Linked DNA regions of Xenopus tropicalis. The protein of the gene in region 1 interacts with the protein of each later gene in a biochemical or structural test. Links are inferred from orthologs where the notes say so. Each region holds a gene or a part of one and is shown in the gene's direction. Other genes may lie near its edges.

Region 1 (4,292 bases):
TGTCCGCTAGATGGCAGCCACAGCCAGCGATTCTGCCGCTGAAAGGCATGTGCGTCTCTAACAGGGTGCCTGTGCTGCTGGGACTCTTACAGGCATTGATCCTGCCAGACAACAAAAAGGGACAGGAGCTGCGTTTCATTAATAATTCCTCTAACGCTGTGGCGCAACTTCTCCACTAAATATCGCACTATAGCGGGGGATAGATATAAATATTTGCTCAAATACAGATACACATTTTTTTTATTATTATTCTCATTGTTAGAGATCAGTGGGAAAGTGCAGGGGGGTGCGGACAGGGAGTGAGAGTGCTGCTGGGGAGAGAGTGAGATTCCTTTTGACATCAATCTAAATAATTCACAGTCTCCTCATTTTTACATCTTCATCTCCAGGCCGTGTAAGTTCTGCCATTTTCCCATCAGCCACTCCAAGTGGTGCATTTTGTTGTGGCCCATGCTAATCAGGGCTGCGAGCAAATGGCAGCAGCGGGCAGGCAGGCGATGTGAATGAACAGTGCGCTTGTCAGAGCCCCCCCCCCCCCCCCCCCCCCATCATTCTCCCTCCTTCCAGCCCCAGTCGTAGGTAACAAGGCAAATGGAAAAGGGGGGGCCTGAGGCACAAGTGATCCCACCAATAGGAAGAGGGGGCTTGGCTAACCTTAGCCTCCCATTTTTCTTCCCCCCCAACTCGGGGCTCTGACCAGTCAGTCGCCTTTGATTATCAGTTGCCAGCAGCCCCTCTCTTGGCTCCTTGACATGAGCACCATATAAGGCAGCGATCTCCATAGAAACGTGTCAGTTTCAATAGTAGTGTCAAAGTTCACTATATACAGACAGTCGCGCAGATCCCCCTTTCGGAAACGTTGCTCCGCTGCTCTTCCCGTTTAAACGCATTCATTTGTGTGTGTGACTCTGTGCCTTCCCTTCTCCCGACTTCTCTTCTTATTGCATATTCTATTAGGTGTCGTCTGGGCTTTTTTTTTCCTTTTCTTTTTCCCCCCTTTGCCTCCCTCACTCCATTCCTGCAGGAGAGCTCCGCACAGCACCGACCGCTCCAGCCCATTGTTATTATTATTCTATTCTCAGAATCGCAGTGTCGCTGCTCCAGGAGGATACCGGTGTCTCTCTCTGACTTTTCCTGCGACTTTTTGTGTTTTTTTTTCCAACTGACTTGAGAAGCCAAAGAGCAGAAGGAGAAGCGGAGCCGCCGGCCGGTACAGCCACAGCCCGACCCCTATCAGAGCCTTGTTATTCCGGGCAGATGGGATAAGCCGGGCTCTGTCTCCTCATGGTGCGGACGGGTCGGAACCTTCTCTCGCTGTTTGTGACTTGTGATGCAATGAGAGTCGCACCGGGGTTATTTCTCCATCGCTCCCAATAAAGAGAGCATTTGCCAAGCGACAGATCGCGGAGGGAGGGAAGCGCCTGATCTGCTCCAGGCTGTGGATGAGGCAGATTCCCAGGACTGGCTCTATGAATGGCTGACTGCATTTTGCCCTGGATTTGGCCCCCGGACACTAACAAACCCTGATCAGGTCCCCCCACCCACCCCCTCCAAAGATTTATTCTTCATCGCCCTCCCTCCCGTCACCCAGGCCGGCTGCACACTGCTCCGTCCTGCAGAGCCCGCTGCCCCTGGCCGCCCTATGTCTGCCGGCGAAATTGGGGCTGCGAATCCCGCCGCCTCCCCAGCCTGAACCCTCCTCCTGCAGCCCGCAGCCCGGAGACCAGGGGAGGAGGACCAGATCGACACTCAGGGGAGGGGGGGAACAGTTGAAGCCGCACTTCCAGCGCCCAGCCGGGCACACAATACATCATTAGCTCCTGAGCCCATTTCACTGTGCAAGAGACAGGGGGAAATCCCTTGAGCGCTAATCCAAGGAAACGGCTCCCAGCAGCGGCCAGCACCACGGCAGAGACAGCCAGCTTCTTCTTCTCCTCCAGGATCAAATCCCCCCAGACCGCGGCCATAAGCTCCCTCTCCAGCACTTTCTGGGCCCGAGATATGGCAATGGTAGTTAGCAGCTGGAGAGATCCGCAGGAGGACGTGGCCGGGGGAAATCCGGGAGGCCCCAACCCGGGGGCCAGGGAGCAACAGCAAGCGCCCTCCGCTGCCCCCCACACGCCTCAGACCCCCAGCCAGCCGGGACCCCCATCCACCCCCGGTGCAGCCGGGGACAAGGGCCAGCAGGGCTCCGGGCAGAGTCAGCAGCAGCACATCGAGTGCGTCGTGTGTGGGGACAAGTCGAGCGGCAAGCACTACGGCCAGTTCACCTGCGAGGGCTGCAAAAGTTTCTTCAAGAGGAGCGTCCGCAGGAACTTAACGTACACATGTCGCGCCAACCGCAACTGCCCCATAGACCAGCACCACCGCAACCAGTGCCAGTACTGCCGCCTGAAGAAGTGCCTCAAAGTGGGCATGAGGAGGGAAGGTGAATATTTGCTCTGGGCACCGGTGTGTGTGTCTGTGTGTGTGTCTATGTGTGTGTGTGTGTGAGTGCGCCTGCCTGGCCCAATATGTATGACTTGCTGATGCATTGTGGCGCTATTAATATTAATAATCGCTGCGTTCCCCGCGTGTCTAGCTTTGTGTGGGTTTTGTCTGTGGAAGCATGCTGTGGGCTGTTGGCTGAGCCTCTCTATTCATGTGCTCCATCCCTTCCCTCTCTCTCTCTCTCTCCCTCTCTCTGTCATCATTAAAAGACACACACACACAGCAAGTTCAGCCAAGCACCTCTCCCCCACCAATCCACATGAAAACAATGCAATTTACTGTACTTTCCATCCATGCTCTGGGCACTCCAGGCATCCTCTAGTTCCTCTAGTTCCAGCAATTCGTGGCCTTGCTAAACACATGCCCTCTCTGCTCCACTTCATATTCTTCATATTCAAAATGCATTTATTCTTCATATACAGTCCATTTTCATTATGCCATCCCTCTCTTTAATCCAGACATAATTTAAATTAGCAGCCACCTTGTTTAAGAAGGTTGTATTGTATTTTATATATAGGCCATTATCTCACACACTTTACAGAGAGAACTAAAAGTTTCCTCCCTTTCGTTACAGAAGCTTAAAGTGTGTGAATGAATGGGGTGAGGCTGTATATGCGGGGTCCGTAGCTGCCTTGTACTTGTTCCTGCCTGTCAGTGGGTTTTGTGTATCTGTGTCAGGTTGTCAGTGTGTGTAAGTTTATGTGTGTAGGAGTAGACAAACTGTTACATCATTGACACATCCTGATACATAGTGATATATAAAAAATATTGTGTACTTGTGTATTTGTATTAGATTGTGTGATTGGTATTTTGGGTGGTTGTGTACAGTAAAGAAAAGTAATGTTTTGTGAGAATGAATGTGTGTGTGAGTGTGTGACTATGTACAAATAGATACAGTGTAACAATCAAGCCAGTGCCCAATGCTCTGCACATAGGCATCACCGCATTTACAAACCACGCTGAAACTTATATAAAACCAAAAGTCACGTTAATATTTCCAAGGTAATTTAGGTGAGGAAAGCAGGAAGCAAATACATTCATCCATAGGCTTATAATTGTTCTATATTTTATCTCTAATGAACAGGTTACTCCACTTGTATTTAAATGCAAAGCGTCGCCATCTAAAAATCCGAGGTTTTATTAAAAATGCAGCAGCCTGGGAATACTTGTCCTGTATAGTGAGAGCCTATCAATACCAGACATGCTAGTCATTTAAATTGGCCCACTACACAAATCATTGCCATATGATTGCATTGCATGGGGTGAGTTCATATTTTTTGTGTGTCTGTGTGGGTTCTAAATTTAGTTCAGTTTCCATTTTCTTTTTGTTAGTTTTCATGTCCTGAGAGCAGGCAGTTAGCGCCTATGGAGTGAGCCCCCACGTCCCCATTAGAACAGTTTGTGAGCTTTGCAAGCAGGGAGCATAAATAAGCTTGCTCACGTTTAGCATCCTTGCACTTAATGATCCAGTGTTTTGCATTGCCACGTTTGGTCACTCACTCTGCCAGCAGCCACACTGCACCAAGCCTTGCATACATTAATTGGCTTCTCCTCACTATGTTTAATTATTGTAAGTCCAATTTTATCTTCTATTCTCATTGTTTCACTGTATCACTTCGGATATTCCGTGTGTTTGAAATGATTGTAGATCCTGACTATTGATGAATATATATATATATATATATATATTAAGTATATATACATATAGTGATGTGTGTGTATATATATATATATATATATATATATATATATATATATATATACATACAGTCATATATATTTATATATTAATACACATGATA
Region 2 (4,074 bases), on another chromosome or scaffold:
ATTACAAACTTGCCCAATGTATATAAATGAGCCCTGTTATGCTTTGTGTGAAGCAGGACATTCTTAGCAGAAAGATAAGAGGCCCTCGCAAAGGGGACATATTTTCAAGTGCTCCAAATCTCTTCTAGCAGCGATGCGGGCTTAACGACCCATGTTTCCTTCCCATCTGCATTAATATAAATCACCGCTAGGTAAACATACGCCCTGTATAGTAGCTAGCCTAGTCGCAACTTACGGTAGCCATATACAGGCTGATTTTAGCTGCTATCGGTCCTTCAGACCAATTCAGCAGCTTATCTGCCCATGTATGGGCACGCACGACAGGCCACCCCAACCGACATCTGGCCTAAAATCGGCCAGATCTCTATTGGGCAGGTTTGATTTTTATGTTGGGTCAGGGACCACATTGACTGCACATTGATGCAGTCCCCAAACTGACAGCTCCTGTACCCTCTGTTTTAATTCAATCGTACCCCGCGAGTGGGCATAATGAATATCAGCTCATTTGCTGACCTTACAGTGTATGGCCACCTTAAGGGGCATATTTATTATGCTGTGTAAAAAAAAAAAAAAAATTCGCCAGGCTTCGCCGTGTAAAAATGGCGTAATTGTTTTACGCGTTTTTTCTTCCACCCGAACTTATGGGAAAATAACGGCGTAATATCCGACATTCAGGTGGCGATCTTTTCCATTTATTTTACACAGCTTTTTACTACGAATTAGTTTTACACAGCATAATAAATACGCCCCTAAGTGTCCATTAATCCTCAGCTGGGGCAGCCTTATTGCCCCACACATATTCTACTCCGGCCATTGTTTCTGTATAAAAGTTTTTTGGTTTTTTTTTATTATCTTTAGCAATATTTCCCCATTTAATAGTTAAGAATTTTAATGAAAGTTGTGGGAATCAATCCCAGATACGGCTATACCACCACATAAAAGAATTTCAAGAAAAATATATATTTTATATAAGAAAACATAACAAAGTTACTGCTTACTTGTACTAGGTTGAGAGTAGTAGTAAAATAAACTGCGTACCAAAGGGAAATGACAGAGTATACCCACACTGCATCTCGCCAAAACTCAGACGCCTGTACGTTCCTCCGTATTACGCACACGTAACTAAGCCCGGCGCTGTCTCTCTGTAGCTGGCAGTGCTGCGCATACATGTGACATCCGCTGTGCGCCGGCCGCCCTGCCTCACTGGGCACGTGACTGGCTAGTCTATATAAGGAAGAGCGCGCCGTCTGTCGGGCTTGTTTCAAAGCAGATTGAAAAGTCGGCGTTAGAAGACAGTCATGGCGTCGACGAGTCGGTTAGTATGTTACCTACCTTTTGGTGCCTTTGCAGTTGTGTTTGTCCTGTCCGTGGGCAGCATGCAGCGGGGGGCTGCTTTGGATAGACTTTCGCTTTCTATTACGCGGGGTGACGACCCTACTGGGGAGCGAATATGAAACTCTCTATACGGCCCCTAAATCAGAACTAATCGTGCCGTACGGTGCAGTTGTTCGGCCGTAGTCCCTGTGAACTTTGTATTAGTCGCTGGGGGAATGGTGGGGATTGTAATGCAGTGAGTTATGGAAGCCAGCGCTGTCAAGTTCGCCTTCATGGCTGGAATCCTTTGTGCCCTGCAGCCTAACTGGGCCAATATTATCCTGCAATGGGGATTGGTGGAACGAGCCATTATTACTATGTTTTCTCAATGGTGATAGGGTTTTGTGGTGGGCCCTTAACTATGGGATTCAGCATAGTCCAGTTATGGGGAGATTTAGGGATAGTACTTATTTGCCCTATTAGCCCAGGTTGAGGGCCACTGAGCAATTTGGACAGGAGACCCTGTTAAACTGACTGCCCCTGGGCTACAGCTGATTGGCTAATGCAGCAATGCCTGTCTGTCCTTTTTATTAACTAAGGGGCTTTTAAAGTCTAGAACAGTGGTCCCCAACCAGTGGCTCGTGAGCAACATGTTGCTCCCCAACCCTTTGGATGTTGCTCCCAGTGGCCTCAAATAAAGTGCTTATTTTTGAATTCTTGGCTTGGGGGCAAGTTTTGGAGGCATAAAAACCAGGTGTACTGCCAAACAGAGTCTCCTATTAGGCTGGCAGTCCATATAGGGGCTGCCAAATAGCCAATAACAGTCCTTATTTGGCACCCCCAGGTACATGTTTCATGCTCGTGTTGCTCCCCAAGTCTTTTTACACTTAAATGTAGCTCACGGGTAAAAAAGGTTGGGGATCCCTGTTCTAGAAGATAACCTAGTACTGTTTTGTGATTCTGTAAACCGGGTGGGTTCTTGTCTCCGCTATAGGGCAATATCCCTGCAATAGTGGCTTTGGCTTCCCCACTGGTTGCTATGTTAGTTGCTATCATTCTATTGACCTGAGTTTCCTGACCTTTTTCTCTGGGGACCAGAGCAAAGTCTAAAAGTTTTGTGACCCAAGTATTATTTATAATATACTTAATTATAATGTGGCTTATTTCATTTTAAGTAGAAGCAACACTGTAAGTCACTCACCTTAAAGCATTGGAATCCACTTTGGTGCCCTGATCTGTAGGGCTTTTGATGTATGCACTTCTCTTCTGGCTTTTAATTACATTTAGCTGCTTCAGTCAGAGCTACGTAGGTGTCTAAATGGTGTGGCATGGCGCTGTCAGGTGTATGTGGCTATGAGGCTGGCTGCAGTCATGTTTGGCATTTGCTTGGCAGGGGGCCTGTAGATGAGTCTTTAATGCTAAAGAAGTTCTGATCTTTCCCTTATATTGACTATTCTGGGGAAAAAATGGACTTTAATAGCTCCGCTTTCTCCCTGGGTTAAAAGGCTAGTAACAGCAGGACCTAAACACGCAGTCAAAACATTTACATATAACGTATGGGCATATTTATCTGAGTGAAAATAAATCTACCCATCACTTATTAACTTTGATAAATATGCCCCTAAAATACTATAAAAGCGCATTATTCCTTGAAAAATTTGCCCCTAGAGTAAGTAGCGGTTTATTGTCATCCCAACAATATACTTAAAAGTATGCAGTGGAACAAAATATCGTCCTCCTGGAGCAAAAAGGTGCAAGAGAATATGGACCTGTAAAACCTTCCTATGGTGAAGTGTCTATTTTCATCCATTTAATAAATGTGTCCCTTAGTGTGAAAACTTGAAGCTTGGGCACCAGTTTTAGAAAGTGATATCTTATTTGAAGATTCATCAATAGATCCCAAGGGTCTTTAAAAAAAAAAAACACTCTCTGAACACAGTGTGCGTTCTAAACATGCTTCAATGGGGTAAGGGAACATAAGTTGTAATTTTGGGAATATTAGTGCAGTAAAGAGGAGGGTGTGCTAGAAGTGTGTGCCACTCTTTATAAAGCTAAAAGTTTAGTGTTTAGGCCAGTTGTAAAGAGATGGGTAAACACTGCTAAATAAATGTTCATAAACCCTTGAATTTCATGGACTGTAATGTTTAACTTTGCTAATGGTTGCATATGTTAAAGAATGACTGACATTGCTGAATTTGACCTCTTAAGGTGGCCATACACGTAACGATCCGCTCGCCTGGCGAGATCGCAGAGCGAGCGGATCTTCTCCCGATATCCCCACCTACGGGTGGGTGATATCGGGGAATTTAGGCTAATTCGGTATGACTGTAAAGGGCGCAGTTGGTTCGGGGACCGCATCAACGAGCCGATGCGGTCCCCGGTCGGACTGAATCTTTTAACCTGCCCGATCAATATTTGCCCAATTTCAGGCCAGATATCGGTTGGGCAGGCCAGTCCAGTCGTTGCTGACCCTACACAGGCCGAAAAGCTGCCGAATCAGTCCAAGGGACTTATCGGCAGCTACAATCGGCCCGTGTATGGGGACCTTTATGGAGTATTTTTGACAGACCTACCTGCTATCCCATTTGATCAGTCTGTCCAATAGAAAATTCTGCCATTGCCTCACATTTACAGGGCATTAGCAGATCTAGAAGTATATTGTATCCCCAGAATGATTGGGACCTGGGGTTTTTCAGCTAAGAGAAATGTCTGTAATTTGGATCACCATACTTATGTTTGCTAAAAACACACTAAACGCTA
Region 3 (4,192 bases), on another chromosome or scaffold:
TTGCCTCTCTGTGTGCCAGTGCTGTACTCCCTGTGTGAGGTGGGAGCATGTTGCCTCTCTGTGTGCCAGTGCTGTACTCCCTATGTGAGGTGGGAGCATGTTGTCTCTCTGTATGCCAGTGCTGTACTCCCTGTGTGAGGTGGGAGCATGTTGCCTCTCTGTGTGCCAGTGCTGTACTCCCTGTGTGAGGTGGGAGCATGTTGCCTCTCTGTGTGCCAGTGCTGTACTCCCTGTGTGAGGTGGGAGCATGTTGCCTCTCTGTGTGCCAGTGCTGTACTCCCTATGTGAGGTGGGAGCATGTTGCCTCTCTGTGTGCCAGTGCTGTACTCCCTGTGTGAGGTGGGAGCATGTTGCCTCTCTGTGTGCCAGTGCTGTACTCCCTGTGTGAGGTGGGAGTATGTTCCCATGTTGCCTCTCTGTGTGCCAGTGCTGTACTCCCTGTGTGAGGTGGGAGCATGTTTCCTCTCTGTGTGCCAGTGCTGTACTCCCTGTGTGAGGTGTGAGCATGTTCCCATGTTGCACCCAGCGCCACAGTGTATCCTCGCCCACCCCCAGCCCTATCGCACATTCATGGAGACGCCTTCTACACAAGTGCTTGTGCTAAATATTAATACCTGTCTTGTACCATCAGCGCCCCACTCACTTCTTCCCGCAACAACTTCATAAACCCCTCCCTGGGCTCGCCTCTAACTTCCATTTCCCTCTCATGGTTCCTCATACCGGACCCGTCATTCTCCTGCCGCCCCAGCCCGAGTGTAGGTCTCAGCACCATCTTATACCCCGTGAGGTGATTCTCCCTGACCCCTTGCTGTCTCTCCCACCCCCCCCCCGCTCCCTGGGCTCGCCCCCCTTAGCCCCAGTGAGTGTGCCAGAGACTGTGATCCCTTTCCCCTGTGTTATCTCCACAGCAGGATCACATTCCAGTTCTCCTCTCGCCTTATTTCCTTTCTCCCTCTCAATAAGCAGCGGCAGCGGCAGCGGCAGTAGTACCAGCAGCCTGTGTGTAGCTTCTCCTCCCCCCTCCCGCTTGTACCGTGTGTGCCCTCATTCCCACCCCCCTCTCTCTCTCATCACTGGCCATTGGCTTTGCCCGGGTCTCATTTTCCTGTCCAGCCCCTTATGAATGTCCATTGGTGTTGGCTTCCCTCCTCCCCTTCTCTCCCACTGGCCCTGCCCATGTTTTCTATGTCTCTGTCCATCCAGCTCCTGACGTTCAAGTTTGCAGGGACGTCACGTCCGCACTTGAACTTGCAGCTCAGGGGGGCTTTTGCCATTTTTTTTCATTTCTCTCCTTCTCTATCTCTCTCTCTCTCCTTTTTTTTCACCCCCCTCCAAAAAAAAAAAAAAAAATGTCATGACGGCTTGTCCCACAATTCATCTTCCCCGCACCATCTTTGTATTATTTCTAATTTATTTTGGATGTCAAAGGCATTTGATGAAGATATTTTCTCTGGAGTCTCCTTCTTTCTAACCCTGCTCTCCCGATGTGAACCGAGCTCTTACGAGCCACCCACCGACCGACATGTCTCGCCGCAAGCAAGGCAAGCCGCAGCACTTAAGCAAACGGGAATACTCACGTAAGTACCGATCCCACACTTACCTGCCCGCACAGCTGCCCACTGCTCCAATGCAAAAGGTGAGAGCATGACAAAACCACTGACAAGAAGGGGGAAAAAATCTTCAAGACTTTCTATGGAGCCTTTCATGTCTTCAGAAGTAGAAAGCCAAATACTTTTCATAGAAAGGATAAGAGATTGTGGCAGAGGGGGTAAAAAGCCAAATGTTGCAGAGAGTGGGGGTGATAGTGGCCACAGCACAGAGACCATGCAGAAGGGATGACATGGGAATCAGTAGGCAAGTGTGGGCTTTTTATGAGCAATTCTTCTTTTACTTGAACTTAAAAGTGGTGACCTGAAGGTGTAAGGTTTGGGCAGCGCTGGGTGCTTTTTGGCTTGCTGCAGGCATGGGGCATGCTGTATAGGCTGCTCTATCAACTGCTCGCTGGAGCCCAGGGAAAGAGACTGCTGCAAGAGGGAATCTCCTCTGTGGCCGCTGCTGCTGCTTTTCTTCCCAAAGAAATCTTCATTCTTCTTTCAAAACTTTTTATTTTTTTCCTCGTTCCACCGCCGGCAGAGGAAATCCCTTCCTTTTCCCTCTCTCTCCCTTTCGCTCCCTCTCTCGCTCTCACTCTCTTACTATTTTTTGGAAGATTTTCAAAAAAAGTGGAAGTGGATTTTGATTGGGAAAAATCTCGTGTCTGAATGTTTACAAGCACCGCGTGTGCAGAGCCTCCTGCCAACAACTGAGGACAGGAAAAGCAAAATAATCTCCAGAAAAAAAGCAACAGAATGCACACACACGCACACACTCGCACACAAAAACCCTCTGAAGAGGCAGCTCGGCCGTGAAAGAAATCAAATTGTCTGTCACTTTGTGACTCAGAAAAGGTTGGAGAGGGTTCTCGAAGCAAGTTGTTGGTGTTGTTGTTTTGGGTGCCGAGCACTTTTCGCCGCTTTGTGAAAAAAATAACGTGTGAATGTGCAGTGCAGAATTCCCTCGATCTGATGTGAAAAGGTTCCAGACTGATTTATGTCATCTATATATCCATATTGTTTCCTGGTGTCTGAAACCCCTTGTTGTGACATTTATGGATTCTTGAAAAAAATGTGCTTATTTGCATCTGTTTTTTGTTTTTGTTCAGCATGGATTCCCCATGACACATTTCTTTCATTCCATAAATCTCTTCGACCCCTTCAGGTACCGGCCAGACCATAGGTGAAAGTCATTTTACCTGTAGTATTTCTTTATATTATCATTTTGTTGCTCTTTGGTTCAGGTTCTCTTTCCTTTTGTCTGTTGATCTTTTATATAAATGTGGGTGTTTGCATCTTATCACATTTACAATACCGGATATCAGACATGACCCCATAGCATGACCCAGTCCTTTGGGAATAGAATTTCATATTTTTAGTTATTGTTCCACGTCTTTGTTACATGTTGATATTTGCTTTTTATAGTTTATATTGGTGTATTATTTTCTTATTCACAGTTAACTTTTTTCCATTCTTGTTGTCAGCAATAATGCCTTTTTTTCTGTCTGAACCCACCCCCACCCCTTGCCAAGGGAGCTCCAGGGGATTGATCACCAACATGAGGTTTCACTTAAGACTTGCTTAGAGATACCAGATCTGACCGCTAGGGAGCAGAGGAAGATTAGGAAACCTATCAGCTTAAACCTTTAACTCGTTCAATGTATATTCCTTCATTTTCATATTCCTTTTCTTCCTGGTGGGGGTGAATGGGTAGAATATATTTTCTCCTCTTCATTTCTTTGTCTTTTTTCCTCATCTCACTCTAATTATTCATGTATTTATTTGCGCAGAGCAACCCAGTTTTAAGGTATAAACAGTTTTCGAGTTTATATTTTATTGATGATGAATTATTTTGAAAACTGTATTTATACACTAACTCGCTTTCCTCATAAATGTTACAATGAAAGAAAAACGTTGCCTTGCAGAATAAGACCCGTTTTCCCCACTTGCTAAAAATCACCCACCTCTTTGTAAATAAGTAACATTCATAAATGGGTCAGAAATGAACGTGGTATGCCAACATGCATTATTTTATCAGATTACCAGCTCTCAATTTAGTTGTGTAGTAATTGCTTTTTTACCCCCACCCAAAAACTGAAATTAATCGCATTTCTAAACATCTTTCCTATATATACATTCATTAAAATGTAAAAGTTATTTCGTAAATGAAATTGCTGTCTTTGCTATGTTTCTGGCTGTTTACGTTGTCTGCACTTCTGGTTTTGACTGCGGGCACAATGTAGCAGAAGTCAACTGATTAACAGACCTTGAGGAGAATTGGCTTCTGCTACATTGTTTCAAGAGTCAGAGAACAGAAAGGGATCAGCAAATACCATTTTTGGTAGCAATTACATTTACAAATAAAACCACTGAACTTTTTGAATGAATGTACATGGGATTTTCTTTAATTTACAAAAAGCAGTTTTGGGGGTGCACCCCTTTAAGTCAGAGGTTTAGTTGGGACTTTTTTTTTTTGCCCGTCCATTTTTTTTTTTAAAGTTTACATCGTTCTGTTCTCCATTAGCCCAGATGAAGGAAGCAAGGAGGCTTGTGTAAGAGGGGGAGGGGAGGGAAACAGGTTTTTCCTAAAACAGAGAGGT
Region 4 (4,299 bases), on another chromosome or scaffold:
TTTTGCTTAACGTAATTGAAGTGATGTCACCCCATGTGTGACAGAAATGTAAATAAATATGTTTGGGTGTAATTATACATGTGTGTAGTATGCGTATGTTTATGTGTTGGTAGAATGAATTCCTGTGTTCACAACATGTCCCCAGTTCTTTTAATTGTCTCCCTCAATCTCCTTTCTTCACCTTCTGCAAATCCTCTGGCTTTTGCCTCCTGCATTTTCCCCCATTCTGCATATTTCTTATGAGCATCAGAAAGAAAAGGTGTCCTCCGGGAGAAAACGGCAATGATGTTTTATTGTCTTATCCGTTTAATTATTACAAATTCCATCAATGATGTACAATATGTCACCGTGGCTATTTTAACTTTTTTTTTAATTCCATGCTACATGATTATCATTTTTTTCCTTCTGTGAAATCTTTTGAAATTATTTTCATGTTCACACAGACAGAAGCTGTGTGAAATAAATATAGAGGCATAAAATGGGTGCTTATTAGAGAAAAAAAAACATATATACATATAATGTATCTTCAGTGTGCTGTCTTTATTGATAGAGATATTACAGTATTTGCAAGGATAACCTTATCCATAAGATGTCTATATGCTTAATTTGGGAAGCAAAATACAAAACTTGATATTAAAAACCACTGATAGAATGTGTTTTATAGTACAGAACAAAAATATTCTAAAATCCACTGTATTGGAAAGTATCTTGTTCATGCAAAATACATTTTACTGGCAAATTGCAGAAATTAAACAATTGTTCTTTTTGTTAAATAGACTCCACATAATCATTGGATGCAAGCCAAAATAATTTAACCCTTTCACCACACTGCAGTGCAATGCAAAATCTTAAACACAGTCAGTGTAATGGTATTTCCTAGTGAAGTGGACAGACCCCCCCCCCCCACACAGACATAATACAGTGGGATCTCTGCTATTCATTAGTTTGTGTTCCCCCCTTCAGTTTAGCAAGCAGGAAGTCCAGTGGTCACTGTCTTGGGTATATAAGAGTTCTGTGCAATTGTAAATCTTTGGTAATTTAGCATGATAGTAAAAAAAACCTGTCACTTATATAATAAACCATCTAATCCCTTACCATGCAAACAGCACAAGTTGCAGAGACTTTTTTGTACTACAGAGCTTGCATTTGAAACAGGCATTTCTGGCAGGAGACATGAAGTGCTTTAGGTATTTGATAAGATGCCACATAGAACTGACCTGGAACATTTGTATAGTGAACTTCCCTTTCTCAAAAAAAAGAGGAGAAGGTGCCAGTGCTTTGCCTGCTACCTTAATATCAGTGTGTGTGCCAGTGCATGGGTTTAGCAAGCAGTGGGGTGCTGCTGGAGAATGAGAGCTGTACAAAAGCCCTGTGCTGTAGGCATGTGGTTTTTCTTGTTGTGTTCAGGGTACAATGTTAAAAAGCCACCACTAGTCGCCCCCAGTGCTCCTACTCTCTCGGTCTTTTTGTCTCTGGTGCAGATTAAACGTCACGTCCGTACTTGAACTTGAATTTTATCCCATTGTACAGAGGCAGACCTAGCCACAGAGAGACAGAGAGCTCCCAGAGAACCAGGACTCCGCCATCTTCACATTACAATTAAATAGTAATAGCCAGCAGCACAGCACTGGCTCAGCAAGTCCTTCCAGTGCCAGACAAGTGGAGCAGCAAAGTGCTGGGCACTGCATTCCAGGGCAGTGCCAGTCTAACTGGAAGGAGACACTCTCTGGCAACCCCCTAAACCAGCAGGGTCAAGCCTCTCATTTTGGCATTATTTGGGCAGTCGTAGTTTTTTTTTAATTATTATTTCTATTTTGTTGTTAATTTTGTGCATTGATGGAAGAAGTGCCATTGCCGTGCACTGTGGACATAGGACGAGTGGACACAAGATCAGCCAATTCCTAAGTTGAAGAAGAGATTGGAAAGCCAAGTGGAGAAACTGGTGCCCTCCTTATTTGATTTCTTGCTGAAAGGAGGACGTTTATTGCATTTCGTTATTAAATATTTTTATAGCATTAAAGAAGGAGACAAGAAGAAGAATAAATAAAAGAGAGGAGGAGAGAAAAGAAGAAGAAGGAAACGTGGGGGAGGAAGGAGACCAGGTCGCCCTTACGCAGAGCAGATCTCCGGGCGATGCCAGTTTAAATGCCAGGGCAATGTCCCGTCGCAAGCAGGGAAACCCGCAGCACTTGTTACAAAGGGAGATTATCGCACGTAAGTCTGTACGGGGCAAGCCCAAGGCTTGTAGGGACATGGCATGGGAAGGTAGAGAGGCAGCAGGGGGAGGAGGTGCAGCCAGGGGCAGGAGGTGCAGCCAGGGGCAGGATGGGGGCCGGCAGAAAGCAGCACTAACCTGCTCCGGAACTTTCATGGGCTGCATGGGTGACACTCGAATTGCGCAGGGTGCATGCATTTAATAACTTGGCGAGTCAGGAAAAGTTAGCGAGCACATGGGATCCTTTTGACAGCAGAAAGTGAAAAACTCCAAACCCACTGCTGTGTCGGTATATCCCACACACTTCTACATTACAGCTAGCACTATACAAAGCTAAGCACTCTCCAAAAATAATTCAAGAAATGTATATCTACATCTTTCTGTGCAAGAATGCAATGCATTTCATTTGTGCCAGTGGCTTCTGCGTAGCATTTTGCAAGCATGGGATTCATGGAAATGACTAGTAATAATGAGAGTTAAAGCAGCAGTGGGGTTGATGCATACAGGGCAGCCAAGGCAGGGCAGTTCATTTGCAGTTTTGCTGCTGTGAAGTTAAAGGGGGCAAGGAAATGCTGGGGAAAGGTAGAGACCTGGGCAGGACTGGCTGGGGAGACTTAATGACAAACACATGGCTAGGAGAGCGTTACAACTGCGTGGCTGCAAAATGTAAATGCATCGAAATTGGCAGCAGAGCCTGGGGAGGGAGAGGGAGAGAGGGGAGAGAGGGGAGAGAGGGGGAGTGGGAGAAGGGGGGCTCTGGATCAATTTATTAGGAGGGGAGAGAAACTTACACACTGGATGGGACATAATAGCTTCCAGGATGTTTTTTGGGGGGAATGCTGCGGATTCCGAGTTGACCCCTAAGTCATGAAGGTATGCTGACAGGGAGAGCTGATTGATAGATTGAATGCTTGGCGAATGTAGGCTCCCACAGCCTAACTAATCCAAAGTGCACTGAAAGAAAACGACAGGTCAGCTCTACTGGGATGTGGGGAAGCTCCCTTCGCACCTGTATAATGTGATGTTCTTGCAAATGATACTTTGTAGAGAATGAATGGAACTGCACAGTAACAGTTGTTACTTTTCTAACTTTGTTATATTAAAGGATGTTAGTACTTCCCTGTAATATCTAAATACACTGAAAAACACTGAGACCTTTAGTTACCTTGTGCCAGAAGTGGGTCTCAGTGTGGGAGCTAACACAGGGCTGATAAGAGATGGCATTACCATAAAATATCGTTAGCTGGGAAACCTTCCTGCCATTTACACTATAGGACATATAGGCAGATCAATGCAAAATATCGTAGATCATAAAGGAGGGATGAAGTTAGAAAATGTGTATGTGTAACACAAAACTCACAGAGCTGACAATCTAACGGTGCAATGGAGCACAGAGCAAGACAGCGGGGACATAAGTTGTGTGTGAGTCTCAGTGTGCCCAGGGTAGCTCTGCTGTCTGTCATCTTATTGTGAAATGATCAATCCGATGTATGGGCCTAGAGCTGGCACTTTACATTGCTACATTTTATTCCGAGTTGTAGAGACAGGGTTGGTACCTAATTACAATCAAATCATCTTCATTTTTAATAAATTAGAACCCAATTGTAGTGTTTTTCTCCCATTGAATCGTGTCAGACTTAGCACATGTGCTCCCTTCTGCAGATACAAACCGAAAGCAGCTCACAACTACAAACAGGTCTCTATAAAAGTCTTTTGTTTCTGTTTGCCCTCAACCTGCCACTATTTGGTTTGATCTAACAACGACACTAAATGTCTAAAACATAGTCCCCACATAAATCCCGTGAAGTGGAATGGACGCCTTCAGTACTAATTAATGTACTAATCACTGTAAATGTTCCGTGGTCCACATGAAGGAAAATGTAATATTGCCCATGTATAGTCCCTGGGAAAGTGACACAGGAGGTGACCATGAAGCCATGGGTTAGGGAGCCTGTGTCTGTCACACAAAAGCACTCATGGCTTTATTATTTAGCCACGTTGTTTCCCTGAGAGCAAGGGAAGGGGTAAGATGTGTTTGGGGACAGAACTGTGGTTCCGCCTAGTGCAGGCAAGGTAAAGGAGCC

The links. The genes of interacting proteins can lie anywhere in the genome.
Region 2: the proteins of nr2f1 (region 1) and gtf2b form a complex in vitro, tested with the Homo sapiens proteins (2 studies listed by BioGRID and IntAct). The link is inferred for Xenopus tropicalis from reciprocal best matches to the Homo sapiens genes NR2F1 and GTF2B.
Region 3: the proteins of nr2f1 (region 1) and bcl11a form a complex in vitro, tested with the Homo sapiens proteins (2 studies listed by BioGRID). The link is inferred for Xenopus tropicalis from reciprocal best matches to the Homo sapiens genes NR2F1 and BCL11A.
Region 4: the proteins of nr2f1 (region 1) and bcl11b form a complex in vitro, tested with the Homo sapiens proteins (2 studies listed by BioGRID). The link is inferred for Xenopus tropicalis from reciprocal best matches to the Homo sapiens genes NR2F1 and BCL11B.

The regions. Positions count from the first base shown.
Region 1 is NC_030677.2:178,175,090-178,179,381, reverse strand, and holds the start of nr2f1 (COUP transcription factor 1), read left to right. Parts: upstream 1-1,485; 5' UTR 1,486-2,001; coding exon 2,002-2,428; intron 2,429-2,690; exon of another isoform or gene 2,691-3,951; coding exon of another isoform or gene 3,952-4,060; intron 4,061-4,292. UniProt on the Homo sapiens protein: Coup (chicken ovalbumin upstream promoter) transcription factor binds to the ovalbumin promoter and, in conjunction with another protein (S300-II) stimulates initiation of transcription. Binds to both direct repeats and palindromes of the 5'-AGGTCA-3' motif.
Region 2 is NC_030680.2:105,691,127-105,695,200, forward strand, and holds the start of gtf2b (transcription initiation factor IIB), read left to right. Parts: upstream 1-1,271; 5' UTR 1,272-1,298; coding exon 1,299-1,315; intron 1,316-4,074. UniProt on the Homo sapiens protein: General transcription factor that plays a role in transcription initiation by RNA polymerase II (Pol II). Involved in the pre-initiation complex (PIC) formation and Pol II recruitment at promoter DNA.
Region 3 is NC_030681.2:33,979,158-33,983,349, forward strand, and holds the start of bcl11a (B-cell lymphoma/leukemia 11A), read left to right. Parts: upstream 1-1,389; 5' UTR 1,390-1,522; coding exon 1,523-1,577; intron 1,578-1,600; exon of another isoform or gene 1,601-1,683; intron 1,684-2,359; exon of another isoform or gene 2,360-2,447; intron 2,448-2,672; exon of another isoform or gene 2,673-2,757; intron 2,758-4,192. UniProt on the Homo sapiens protein: Transcription factor. Associated with the BAF SWI/SNF chromatin remodeling complex. Binds to the 5'-TGACCA-3' sequence motif in regulatory regions of target genes, including a distal promoter of the HBG1 hemoglobin subunit gamma-1 gene.
Region 4 is NC_030684.2:90,496,493-90,500,791, reverse strand, and holds the start of bcl11b (B-cell lymphoma/leukemia 11B), read left to right. Parts: upstream 1-1,496; 5' UTR 1,497-2,156; coding exon 2,157-2,214; intron 2,215-4,299. UniProt on the Homo sapiens protein: Key regulator of both differentiation and survival of T-lymphocytes during thymocyte development in mammals.